Astyanax mexicanus: one gene and its partner. The protein of the gene in region 1 interacts with the protein of each later gene in a pairwise test. Links are inferred from orthologs where the notes say so. Each region holds a gene or a part of one and is shown on either strand. Other genes may lie near its edges.

The links. The genes of interacting proteins can lie anywhere in the genome.
Region 2: the proteins of xpo7 (region 1) and uso1 interact in binary tests that used the Homo sapiens proteins (3 or more experiments, as listed by UniProt). The two-hybrid records come from large-scale screens. The link is inferred for Astyanax mexicanus from reciprocal best matches to the Homo sapiens genes XPO7 and USO1.

The regions. Positions count from the first base shown.
Region 1 is NC_064427.1:21,556,057-21,563,214, forward strand, and holds the start of xpo7 (exportin-7), read left to right. Parts: upstream 1-4,139; 5' UTR 4,140-4,228; coding exon 4,229-4,246; intron 4,247-7,158.
Region 2 is NC_064414.1:56,335,954-56,343,178, forward strand, and holds the start of uso1 (general vesicular transport factor p115), read right to left. Parts: upstream 3,014-7,225; 5' UTR 2,396-3,013; coding exon 2,330-2,395; intron 1-2,329. UniProt on the Homo sapiens protein: General vesicular transport factor required for intercisternal transport in the Golgi stack; it is required for transcytotic fusion and/or subsequent binding of the vesicles to the target membrane.

The DNA of each region.
Region 1 (7,158 bases):
TATCTCTCTCTCTATTATTCTCTGTTTTTATTGCTGTTTGATTTTTCTCTTTCGTCTGTTTCCCCTGTTCCTTTATGCCCTCTTGTTCTCTCTTTTTCTTCTTGACGTTTTTCTTTTCTCTCTGTGTTCTTATCTTTGTGTCGGTGTCTCTTTCTTTTCTCTTTTTTATGTTTCTAACTCTTTCTTCTTGTTCGCTCTGTCTGTTTTTCTCTTGTTCTAACTTACATACTCACTTCCCTCTCTCTCTCGCTCTCTCTCTCACACACACTCTCTCTCTCTCTTTCTTCCTCTCTTTCTTTTTCTCTTTCCCTCCTTCTCTCTCTTTGTCGTTCTGTCGGTGGTGTATTGTTTGACCTGGAGTGCCTTTAGAACTTCACTTCCTGTGAACTGCAGGTCTAAATGAGTCACTGCGCTCAGATGCGTGGGTGTGTGTGTGAGTGAATGTGTGTGTGAGAGAGAGAGTGTGTGTGAGTGTGTTTCTATAAGTGTGTGTGTGTGTGTGTGTGTGTGTAAGAGTGTACGTGTGTGTGTGTGTGTAAGAGTGTACGTGTGTGTGTGAGAGTGAATGTGTCTGTGAGTGTTGTGTGTGTGTAAGATTGTGTGTGTGTGTGTGTGTGTGTATGTGAGAGTGTGTGTGTGTGTTTCTGTAAGATTGTGTGTGTGTGTGTGTGTGTGTGTATGTGAGAGTGTGTGTGTGTGTTTCTGTAAGATTGTGTGTGTGTTTGTGTTCTCAGTGCCGAAGTGAGGTTTACTGTAAACGTTAATTCCGCCTGTTTCGCAAAATTGATACAAATATTTCCAATATCAGCAAATCTGATCTCTTTTACTTCCTAAATGATTGTTCTGTGAAGTCTTTCAGTAATGAGATATTCAGTATCCATTATGAATGTATCCAGTGTCTAGTATAAAACAATCCGTATCCATTATAGATTACTCAGTAATTACTATGAATTACTATGAATTCACAAGGAACTATTCAGTTACCACTATGAAGTATTCACTATCCATTATGAACTATTCTGTATTCATTATGAATTTCTCACTATCTACTACAAATTATTTAACAAAATATTTAGGATCCACTAGGATTTTTTTAGTGTATGATAAGTACTATGCAGTATTTACTATAAACTATTTAGTATTTTATAGTATTTACATATTTTTCAGTATGACTTTATTAAGTATAATTTTAAGATTAAGTATCCAGTATGACATGTTCAGTATTAACCATAGATTATTTAGTATCCAGTTTAAAATGCTCAGCATTCATTATGAATTATTCAGTATCAACCATAGATAATTGTGTATCCAGTATGAAATGTTCAGTATTCACTACAAATTAAGTATCCAGTTTAAAATGTTCAGGATTCATTACATTTTTTGTATCAACTATAGATTATTCAATATCCAGTATGAAATGTTCAGTATTTACAACAAATCTTACAGTATCAATTATGAATTATTTGGTATCCAGTATGAAAAGTTCAGTATCCACTGTAATTGTTTTGTATCAACTATAGATTATTCAGTATTCAGTATGAAATGTTTAGTATTCACAACAAATTTTACAGTATCAACTAAAGATTGAGTATTCAGTATGAAATGTTCAGTATTTACTAAACATTTTACAGTATCAACTATAGCTTATTCAATATTCAGTTTATGTTCAGTATTTATTACAAATAGGCAAAACCATTTTGTGGAAATATCTGAGAGGTCAAACGTTACAGAATTCTCCTAAATTTGCCGTAAATGTTTGGACACTTCAGGATGTGAATCAATCACTAGTCAGTAAAGGTGAATCTACTGTCTGTGTGTCTCAGAGATTAAGATGAGTGAAGATGAGTAGTGTGAAGATGAGCAGTTTGAAGATGAGCAGTGTGAAGATGAGCAGTTTGAAGATGAGCAGTGAGAGATACATGATCAGAGAAAACCCTGCAGAAACCACAGAGCAGCACAGGCTCAGCCCATGTGACCACACTGCCCCTCTGCGGCTGACCGCGAGTATTACAGCCGATCAGGTGTGTACAGTAATAAAGTAAATATAATGGCTTCCTATATTTAAGTAATTTAAGTAAAATATTTACTGATGTATTTCTTTTTGTGACTTTTTATTGTGGGGTTCAGCCCAATTCTGGTAGTTGAAACTACTTTCATTCTTTTAATCATTACAAAGTTTTTATAGGAGACAGTCACACGGGTTAGATATAATTATGTTTAGGAGAACCTACACTACTTAAATATATCTTCAATTGAGATGTAAATATTAACAGAATTTAAGTATCTGTGTGAATTTGAAAACGTTTTGAAGAAAAAAATCTTTTGAAGGAGTGCCAGGTTTGCTGTTTTTCACAATTGATTTTTCACAGAAGCTTCAACAAACTGCAGTAAAGAATGAGGTGGAAAGAGGAAGAGTCATATAGAGTGAGGGTACAGTGAGAAAGAGTGAGGTATAGTGAGGGTAGAATAAGAGTAGAGTGGGATACAGTGATGTAGAGTTAGAGTAGGGTGAGGTAAATAACAGAGCAGCAATGCCTCTTTCTACCTGAAGACAGAGCTCTTAAAGTAGCACTTCCTCCCCTAACACCTCTATCAAACTAACTACTTCTAACCTAAGTTCCTGCTCTCCCTCCTTTGCTCTTCTAATTCCATTTGGTCTACTTTAGGTCCTTTAAAAATGTTTTTTTTTTCCTTTAAATTCTATGTCCTCTATTGCTAAATGTACATCATGAATCCACTAAATATAATGTTATGTAATGTAACTCCTTCCTACCTGCACTCACTCCTGAAGGATTACGTTACCTACCGGCCGCTGAGCTCCTCCTCCAATGCCTCGCTTTACCAAACAAAAATTCACACAAAGCAATCCAGACTGTTCTCATACAGAGTTCCCCAATGGTGGAACAAACTACCTTCTACTACCAGATCAGGAGAATCTCTCACTATCTTTAATAAACTCCTGAAGACAGAGCTCTTCAAAGAGCACTTACTCTCCTAACACCTCTAACACACTAACTACTAACCTCATTTCCTTCTTCCCATCCTCTACTCCTCTATCCAATTATTCCCTTTGATCTCCTTTAGGCCCTATCTAAAGATGTTTGTACCTTTAACTTCTATTACTTTTGTACTTCACTATTGTAGGTCCCTTTGGACAAAAGCGTCTGCAAAATTTAATGTTATGTAATGTAAAGGTAGAGTGAGCATAGAGTGTGGAAGAGTGACGGGATCGGGACGGTCGGGAGGTAGAATGCCCTCAATAACGTTTTGCATTCCCCAAAAAGTGTGCTCTTGCATACATCTTGTATGGGTTCCCTCGCAAAAAAAAAAGGGCCTCCACAAATGTTTACATTCCCTTACAAAACAATTGTATTTACCTAGTTTTAAATTCCCTTGCCAAAAAATGTGTTCCCTCCAAAACGTTTTACATTCTGTTCCAAAAAAAATTGTATTGTCTTGCAAACTTTGTTTTAAAAGTTTTTAATCCTCTCACAAAAAAAGGTTTAGGTTTGCCGTTGGAAAAATAACTGGATAGACTGGTAAAAACATTCAAAAGATAAATGTTATATTTATCTGGATTTAGTGAGAATATTGATCAGATGTAATCCATTTTAACTCTGTTTATGTGAATGTTGATTAAATATTTATATAATGTTAGTATTGTTTACTACGCCTACTTCACATTTTTTATTGCCTCATTGTAAAAAAAATATTATTGAGCCAAATTGAGGTGAATCTGTTGTATTATCTGTTGTATCTGTTGTATCTGTTGTATCGGTCCAGTGTATTAGTTTTGTGCCCCCTTGGGAACATTAACTGCCCACCCCTCGTTTAGGGACCATGTAGAAAAATAACTGGATAGATGCTTCCCCCTAAAAAAACAATACGAATATAAACACAACATTCAGCAGATAAATGTTATTTTTTCTGGATTCTCTTATCTGCATATATTGATAAGATTTAATCCATTATAATCCGGTTTAATTATCTGTATGTATCCGATATCCCCATATTCCGCACGATTCCTCTTTAAGAATTATGTAAACAAAGACTCCTCCAGCGTAACGGAGCGCCGGATTTCCAGCGTAGTGCTATTACCGAACGCTCCTGCGCCCGGCCCTCGCCCGGCAGCGCGTGCGTCAGCTGCGTAAGTGCAGCGCTGTATGTGGACATATGCACGCATGCTCTTTGTGAAGGGGGAGTGAGAGAAGAGCATGAATGGAGCAAAATGGCGGATCATGTGCAGGTAAGCAAAGCTTTTTATTAGTGTGGGCTGAAAGCAGGGCTGTTCGGCTCGGTTTGGGTCAGATCTCCGCGCGCGTGCTCCGGTTCTGTGGGCTGTGCTGGCCCGGTTCGGGTGTGCTGTGCTGGGTGCGGTGGTGGTGATGATCAGCAGGAGCAGTGTGTTGACTTGGCCCTGTCATGCTGATGATGTGCTGTTCGTGCTTATTTACGTTGGGCTTGGGTGCAAACTTGTGCATGCGTGCGTTTTTGGCGCAGGGATTGCGCCTTTTAGCGTGTTTTAAAAGCACGTGCATGGACTCAGTTAGATTATTGCATGCAATGCAATTTAGTTCAGTGCAGTGCACTGAAATCGCTCCCAGTGTGCTCCCAGCGTTACAGTGTAAACAAGGCGCATCCTCCTCCTGCAGCGCGTGCGATTCCCAGACAGTACAAAAATCATTTTCTCAACCTTCACGTTCATTTTGTCATCACTAATGAACTGTTGATTCAACTTTGTGCATTTTTTTTTTTGTTTTATAACATTTGGTAAAAATCATTTTGAGTAACTTACATCTTATACAGAAGCCCCCCAAACCATTCAAAAGCCTGTAAACATAACTAGCTTACATGGCTACACGTTGAGTAAACGTCCGACTTTGTAAAACACCAATCTAGCTGATAACCCTAATAGCTAAGTGTAACAAGCAGTGTTGATAGCGGTTGTTTAATTTATTTTTAACGTAATTCCAACGCTGAAAGCTCTTGAAATTGAACCTTTATTCAATGTTATTTGCTAGCTTAGCGGTAGCTAACCTAACGCTGTCTATCAGGGCTGGGTCTGCTAGCTTAGCTTAAACTGTAGCTAAATAAGTTACCCTCTTTTTAAAAGCCCACACTTTGGAGGGAACGCCCTAAATGCGAAAAACAAGTTTATATTCATAATAATAAATTATAATTTACTCGTGTTGGTGCTTTATTACTATTAGATTTTATATTCAAGCTTAGCTAAGCTGATCTAGCACCTGCACTGCTGATAGGTTAGCCATGTTAGCTAGCATTAGATAAGCTAGATAACGGCCTTGCATTGCTTAGCTTAGCTCGGCTTAGCTTAGCTTTGTTTTGCTTATTTCTTACTATTCAATTCAATACAATATAGGTTAGCTTGTTAGCTTAGCTTAGCCAGTATTAGCTTACCTTATGTTAGTTTGAGTACGCTAGCATTTGTTGGAGATAGTTAGATACCTGGCTAGCTAGCTAAGCCAGTTAGCTGGCTTAACCTAGTTGTTTAACTGTTAAATGTATTTAACTGTTGTAAACGTGTGTGTTTAATGTTATCTCGCTAGCTAGCCATATAGTCCTGTGTTGGGGCTTAGTTAGCTACAGTTAGCTAGCAAAGTTATCCTGCTAAAATGGTAAATCCAGTTAGCTTGTTCCGGGTCCTGAAAGTAGCTAAAATCCATCCCAGGATTGTGCTCCAACTGCATGGACAGCTACAGTACAGCAGAGCTATCCGCGCTGTTTACAGAAAGTCCCGGGATGGATTTTAAGCCTCTTTCTGGATCTGGAGTTGCCACTGCTGTCCGCTAGCTCTGTCATTTCTCCCGCGCTGTATTGTGAAAGCAAAAGCACAGCAAATATGCTACAAACTGATTTAAAACACATTTATTTAGTTAATTTTAGTACAGATTTTAGTCAGTAATTACATTTTAACAGCAAATATTAGCTGTGTTTGAACAGAATGAGCACCGGGCTCTGTTTAAAGCTAGCTAGCGTTAGCGGTTGCTAGCTAAGCAGGAGCACATAGGACCCGGTTAACGTTAGCTATGCTAGCTTGCTTTAAGGTGAGCTTATACTTTTTATTATTCATAAAAAATAGTGTACTATTGATTTGAGATGTACAGTTTAATTTACTTATTTGAATATTAGTTGATTTAGCTAAGTTTAGTTTAGCAACTAAGCTCAGATTAGCCCCAGTTAGCTAGCTAACTAGCTAAATTCTTTTGACAACTGCAGTTAGCTGACGTTAGCTCTGTAGGATTAGCTCTACTTTGGCAAGCTAATGTTAAGAAGTGAACACGAATGCACCTATTTAGCTATTTCACATTTTTATTTAAGTGTTAATATAACTAAATTCAACTTTTTAAATCCAGATTTAATAAAAAATACACCTTAAAAATACACCTTTCCTTAGTTTAACTAAGTCATTGGGCATTGCTTGGGATGCTGAGAATGTACACTGATGTATTGTGTACTTAAATTATTACTAAATACATTATTTGCATTTAAGGTAGAAAAATAATATACTTTAATATAGACTTTAATATTTACCAATTTGAGTGTTTTACAAATTATTGTACCTTTTATGTGACCGTATATCTGTGATCCATGATTTGTCTGAACAGTTTCTTTCCTAATGAATGTGCAGAAACATTGAGTTACATCATTTCTTAGAAATTCCTTGAAACACAAATTCCTTTAAAAGTGAAGAAAATTACTTATTGTACCTTTTTAATATGATCTATATCTTTGTGATCTATATCTGTGTGATCTATCATTTGTCAACAGTCTCTCTTTTAATAATGCACAAAAACTTTGAGCTACGTTATTTCTTTGAAATTCCATGAAACACAGATTCCTTTAAAAGAAAAGAAAACAACTTATTCTACCATTTAATGTTATCTATATCTGTGTGATCTATCATTTGTCTGAGCAAATTCTCTTCTAATAATCCCAAAAACATTGTTGCGTCATTTTCTTTAGAAATTTCTTGAAACACATTCATTTAAAAACAGAGTGGTTGCGATATATTTTAGGGGCTGGATTTTTTTTTTGTTCTAGAGATGTGCTGAAATAGAAATTTAGTTTGAAATCCAATAAAATTAAGCACTTAACTAATGGCCAGATATTTTTTACCATTGCATGATCACATTGTCA
Region 2 (7,225 bases), on another chromosome or scaffold:
CAATATTTACTATCTACTTAAAGGTAAAACACACATGAAACATTTTTTCATATACAGCTACATTAATTCAGGCGTTAAAGGGTTAAGAGACAAGAAATTCAAGTAATTAACTCTTGATGAGTTCAGCACAGCTGTTAACTGAAAGCCTGAATTCCAGGTGACTCTACCTCATAAAACTGACTGAGAAAATCCAGCAGAGATGTTCAAAACTGATCATCTAAACAAGAGGAGCTACTTGTAAGAATCTAAAATATAAATATATATTCTGGTTTGTTTGGATGAGTTTAGTATTAATCTACAATGCTTCTTCTGTTATATTTGTTCAGATACAGTATATTGTTTTTTTAACGTATATTAGTTAAATATATTATCATCAATATTTAAAACACATACACTTCACTATATTTCACCACGACAGGACGGTTAAATGCATTTCCTGTGACACAGCTAAGACAAGACTGGGATATCAGCTGGTATCAGCTAGTCTTTATCTCAGAATTGATTAGGAGAGATAATCTATACACAGTGCGCTCTGTGTGTACGGAGGCGGAGTTATTGGCGTATTGATTATGGCATGACTGGCTAAAATATTGGTGACGTTTTTTTTGTATGTTAATAAACATGCAAGTAAAGACAACAAGCTACTGGATACTGATCTGAGTAAAAAATCACAGAGGTCATGTCCTTTCATTATACAATAATATAAGTATTGTAAAAAGACAATGGTCTTAAAGTTCCTACAACTGCAGGAGGAAATAAGAAAACAAGCTGTTAGCTATACTATGACTAGCTATGACTGGAATGAGCTTCAGGACATTAAACTGAAATATTTACTGAGCTGTTCTGAATTACACCTCACAGCTCAACAGGACAGAATACAATAAAAAAAATATTAAAATAGAATAGAATTACTTAATTGATCCTTAACTAAACTGCAGAAAGACAACGATCATCTTCCCTTGGTGAGTTGATGTACACACCATAATATATTCCTTATAAGTTTCTCACTTTATTAAAACACTTTCACTTTCATTATATAATAAACTCACTCATTATTCAACTACCAACTTCTATAATAACGTCACTAACATATAAAGTATATAAATATATATACTACAAATGATTGTTGACGACCTCTGTTATAAATGCTCATGTTTCTTTACTTTTATACTGTTATTTGCGTGAGACTGACGGTAATTGGAGGAACTGCATAGTAAGAATTACATTATACTAGGTGTGTAACTGCTTGTTTTTGCTGTGCATATGAAAATATAACTCTTAAATCTTACTTCTAAATCTGTTTATTTCTAAAAACATCAGTTTTTTTTATATTACCTTCTTGGCTTTGTTTCCTTTTTTATAATCTCGTATTAATTCAATCTTAACCTGAGCATTATACATCATTTATACTTAATATTACTTTCTTTTAATGTTTATTAGCTGCTTATTTTTCAGTGGTGGCACTGACTTACTTTACTTTTGCTTCTATTAGTTTCAGAAGATATTTTTGTTTTATTTAAGATGTTTACAATTAATAAAAAGAGTTTAAAGCTGTGAAGAGTCTATGTAAGGACCAAAAATACAAAAACATTTAATTTAATTTATTTTATACATCTGGTCGAAGGTAAGATATAAGGTATATACCGTAAACATTATATTTGTTTGTAAAGTTATAGTTAAAAATGTGTATATCGGTTATCGCCACCGGCCTATAATTTTCCATATCAGTGCCTCCTTATTAAATACTGTTTTTTTGTTTTATTTATATATCTTTTTCAATTCCTTTTGTCATAAATAAAGTTAGACTGATTTTGGTTCATAAACCCACACGGGTATCATACATACATTCAATCTAGAATATATGGCCTTTATGGAGAATGTGTACATGATATTATATATATACAACTAGCTACACACTAGCTAACTGATTAATAATACAGATAAAATCTGATTATTCTGACACTTTGACTCTCAGCACACTCTGTAATAATATCAGTATCAGTATAATCTAAATTATCGTGATATTACTGTTGATGTAGTGCTGTTGATCAGCCCTGTGTTATTATAGTATAATAATATCAGCAGTTAAATGATATTAAGTGAATATTAAAGCTATAATCTGATAAATCTGACAGTTTAACTGGGTGTAGTGTGTGATAATCAGACAGTAACAGTGCTGTGTGATATTTATACTGTGGACTAGAGTGTAAGGTTTGAAGTTTAGAGGTTTATAAAGGATCTAAACTCAGATTTTAACTCTTATTTACTGATAAACACACACACAGCCCTGTTAGCAATAGCATTAGCTTTAGCATTAGCATTAGCTCACGGTGTCGGCTCCGGAGGGCTGCGGGCCGGCGGGCTGTCCCCCCATCACCCCGCGGAAGAAGTTCATGGTGTGGGCTGGTGCTCCGCTCCTCCTGCGCTGGGTTAACCGGGTTTAGAGCCGGTTCGGTTCGGTAATCCCCGCTGGTTCCGGTGGTTCCGCTGCTCGAGCTCCTGATCAGCTGCGGAGCTGTTTCCTACAGCACGCTGCTGCGCATGCGCGGAGACGTGGCGCTACGTGGCTGGACGGCGCGCAAGCGCGGAGCTCTTAAAGGAACAGCAGGTAAAACAACACAATCCTAGCTCACCTGGTCAGCTCCTGACCAGTAAAACTACTAGTTTTAATGTCAAAACTGCATACGTACAGTACATACAGAGGCTTGAACAATATTTACCGTCATTACCGTCTGGTTTAGGAACCACAACACCTCAAGACCGCAAGACCCTACAGCGGATATTGAGGACATCTGAGAAGATCATCAGAGTCTTTCTAACCTGAATCTCAGAGATCTACACCACACGCTGCATCCGCAAAGCCACCAGCATTGTGGACGGCCCCACCCATCCCTCAGACAGACTCTTCGCTCTGATGCCGTCCGGCAGAAGATAAAGGAGCATCCGAGCCTCCACTACTAGACTCTGCAACAGCTTCATCCACCAGGCAGTCAGACTCCTCAACACACAGAGACAGAGCTGAACCCCCACCCCACCCACCACACACCCAAAACACTCAAACAAAACTGAACTGATCCCCCCACCACCCTTTACACACACAAAGACTGTACTTCACACACACACACACACACACACTAACTCTCACTCTCTCAGCAAACAGAGATGGAAAGGTCTCTATTCCTATCAGCAATATTTGCTGCTACTCTCAAAAACTATAAACTCTCTACCTCAGTAACTGCTGTGATTATATATGTTCTATATGTTACAGTATGTTTACATATCGCTGCACCTTATCCTCACTATTATACCATATCAGTACTGCACTGTCCTGTCTTTTAAATTGTCTCGTATTTTGTATTTATTGTAATTTTACAGTCTTTACAGTCATTACACCTTGCACTGTATGTTGGTTATTGTTTGTTGTCCCATGTTGCACCATGGTTCCAGACAAACGTAATTTAATTACACTGTGTACCTGAACTCATATGTAATGACAATAAAAACTTGACTTGACTTGAAATGGTGTTACTCTCCTAGCCAAACCAGCAACCAGTCAGCCAGTATTACCATAGTGGCTGATGACCATGAACATCATGAGCATGTTGGTTGACCACAGTTGGGCAGCATGACCTGCTTGACCTTGTTTGACTAATCTCACAAAACTTGTTGACCAACATGAGCATCACAAAAAAAAATGACCCAGCTAGCTGGCCAGCATGATCAAGCTGGTTGGTCTCATTAGTAACCTGACCAGGCTATTCCACCAGTATGGGCAACATATAACCAATGTATAACCTAACAAACCACACCATGACCAACCTGACCAAACTAGACAATCCATATGACCACCATGACAAAACCTGTTGGCATGAATGACCTGACCAAATCAGTCATCTGGTATAACCAGGCTGCAAAACCACACCAATCAATCATGGCCAGCCTGACCAAGCTATTCAACCAGTAGGACCAAACCAATTGATGAGCATGAGCAGCACCACTCACCAGATCAATGTAACCAGTATGGTTGACAACAACTGAACCTGAACCGTCTGAAACGGAACTAATATAATTATTTAGGCACTATTTTTTGCTTTTTTCACTACACCCTGCAGCATGTAAACAGGTTTTATTTCCAGAGTTTTCTTAGAACTCTGGTAAAACAGTGTTTCAGATAAACAGTTTCAGATATCAGGCAGTACATTTATAACTGTAATAACTGTCTCGGGGGGGGGGGGGGGGGGGCTGGAATCTGGATAACTGTATTTACATCTAAACTTTATTTAAATAGAGAATTTTGAGAAGTGGGTGGAATGCCCCTTTAGGGAATGTGAATAACGCAGCGTGTAGAGCCGCTATTGTCAGGCGCTGTTTGGTATTCAGCCCACAGGGTGTCTAATCTTCTCCCACAATGATCCCATCCGTCTCTCTCACACACACACACACACGTATACACACACACACTTATACACACAAACACACACACACACACACACCGTGTTTGTTAGGCTGGACAGGCCCTCACATTATTATTAAATGACTGATCTGTGGTTGTTTGCAAGAAAACTGAAGAATCTAAGAAAGAAAACAGTATTTTAGCCCCACCCATTCAGTTTAGTCCCATCCATTCAGACTCCAGCACTTTAGCCCTATGGTATAATAGCCCCACCCATTCATTCTACAGAAGTTTAGTTTCGACCCCCCATTTAGCCTACAGCAGTTTAGCTCCTCCCATTCTAGTCCCACATATTTAGCCTTGAGTATTTTAGCCCCTTCCATTCAGCCTACAGTATTTGAGCTCCTCCCATTTAGCCTACAGCAGTTTAACCCCTCCCATTTAGAGAACACTATTTTAGCTCCACCCATTCATCCTACAGTATTTTAGCTCCACCCATTCATCCTACACTATTTTAGCTCCACCCATTCATCCTACAGTATTTTAGCTCCTCCCATTTAGTGAACACTATTTTTGCTCCACCCATTCATCCTACAGTATTTTAGCTCCTCCTATTCAGCGAACACTATTTTAGCTCCACCCATTCATCCTACAGTATTTTAGCTCCTCCCATTCAGCTAACACTATTTTAGCTTCACCCACTCATTCTACAGTATTTTAGTTCCTTCTATTCAGTGAACACTATTTTAGCTCCACCCATTCATCCTACAGTATTTTAGCTCCTCCCATTTAGCCTACAGCAGTGTAGCTTCTCCCATTCTAGTCCCACATATTTAGCCTACGGCAGTTTAGCTCCTCCCATTCAGCATATAGCAGTTTAACTCCTCCCATTCAGCATATACTATTTTAGCTCCACCCATTCATCCTACAGTATTTTAGCTCCTCCCATTCAGCCTACAGCAGTTTAACCCCTCCCATTCAGCGAAATGTTTGCCCCACCCAGCTTCTCCCAATTAGCCTACAGCAGTTTAGCTCCTCCCAATTAGCCTACAGCAGTATAGCTCCTCCCATTCAGCCTACAGCAGTTTAGCTCCTCCCATTTAGTTCAGTTCCACTCATTAAGCCTAGAGTATTTTAGCTCCACCCATATCAGTCTTAAAGGGGCGGTCAGACAATTACTGTTGGCTGTGTTTGGTTTATAAACCCACACAGATGCTGTAATTAGAGCTTTTTGAAGAAGTTTAAATGTATTTTAACATCACAATTTCACATATCTGTGATTTTTAATAATATTAAAGTTCAGCTCAGTCCTTCACACAGTTCACTGTGTGTCCAGCCCAGCTGCAGTGGTCAGTTACACACTGCACTTACACACCTCTAATAAACACCTACTGTCTCACCTGAGTGTGTAATCTCCTGCTAAACCCTCTCAGATCTCACACTCACAGTACTCTTCTTCAGCCGAACCCACAAGGGGGAGGAGCTACGGTGTGATTATGTTAATGACACAGCACTGGGAAGGAGTCAGAGTGTGTGTGAGTGTGTTAGAGAGTGTGTTAGAGTGTGTGTGAGTGTGTTAGAGAGTCTGTTAGAAAGTGTCAGAGAGTGTGAGAGTGTATCTCCAGCATGGCCGTCTGTCTGACTGCGGGTCTCACCCTGGTCCTCCTTCTGCTGTACCCAGCAATCAGCTCAGGTAACCCTAAAAAAATGCAATACCACACACACACACACACACACACACAGAACAGTTAACTGCTAAATGTGAATTATTCGCACAAACATGTTTGCATAATTTACATAACAACTGCTTCTGTCTAAAATAAAAAAAAACATTCTACAGTAAACCTGTTTATATAATCACATTACATTTATAATCACAATCAGAAATCAGACTTAGAATAAATAAATAGAATTATAACCACACAAAATATGTAGCTAATTGTATGTTTGTATTTTACTGTAGTGGTGTTTAAATGAGCAGTTCTAATCCTGAGTTCTGATACTGTATTTTGCTTTGTATTTGATTCGTATTAATACTGCTGAACGTTTAATAGTAAGTCTTAAATACAATTTAACTTCATATTCTAAATTGTAAATCAGAACTGATTACTGTACTAAGTCTGATTTCAAACTGCTTCAGACAGTTTTTGGTGAATACATTTGTTATTTATGAACCCGAATTATAATTTTACGTCTGTTATTAATTGTATTAACTGTGCTTAACTATAAAACATTAATTCTGAAAACTCAAAATTCTGGTTCTGAATTCAAATTCTGATTGTGATTACAACTCTGACCATGAATTCTGATTGTAAATTCTGATTCCATGTCATATTTCAACACCATGTTATCCATGTTATCTATACGACATATAATATAGTAGTTTCTGTCATAGATACTTTAAAATGTGGGTGTGGTCTTATTTTCTTTTCCTTTAAATGATAAACCATTGCTTTTAATCTGATTATAGAAATAACACATTTTTCAGGTTGAATTTAAGTTGCAAGTGGCAATTCTGGGCATGAATTCTATTTCTGATTGTAAATTCTGATTTGATATTTGTGATTCTTCATTATAATTCTATATCTAAAGATTGATTGTGCTTAAAATTCAGATTCTGAATTCAAAATTGTCTTTCTCAACTTGGATTGCGATTACAATTCTGGTGATGAATTTTATTATTATTATTATTATTATTATTATTATTTACTCTGACTGTGATTATATTCAGGTTCACTGTATAGCTTTTTTGGAAAGAGTAATTAGGTAAAACCTGTACTGTTTATTTTTAAATGTAAAAAAAATGCTTCCTAATATCACCTGTGAATGTAC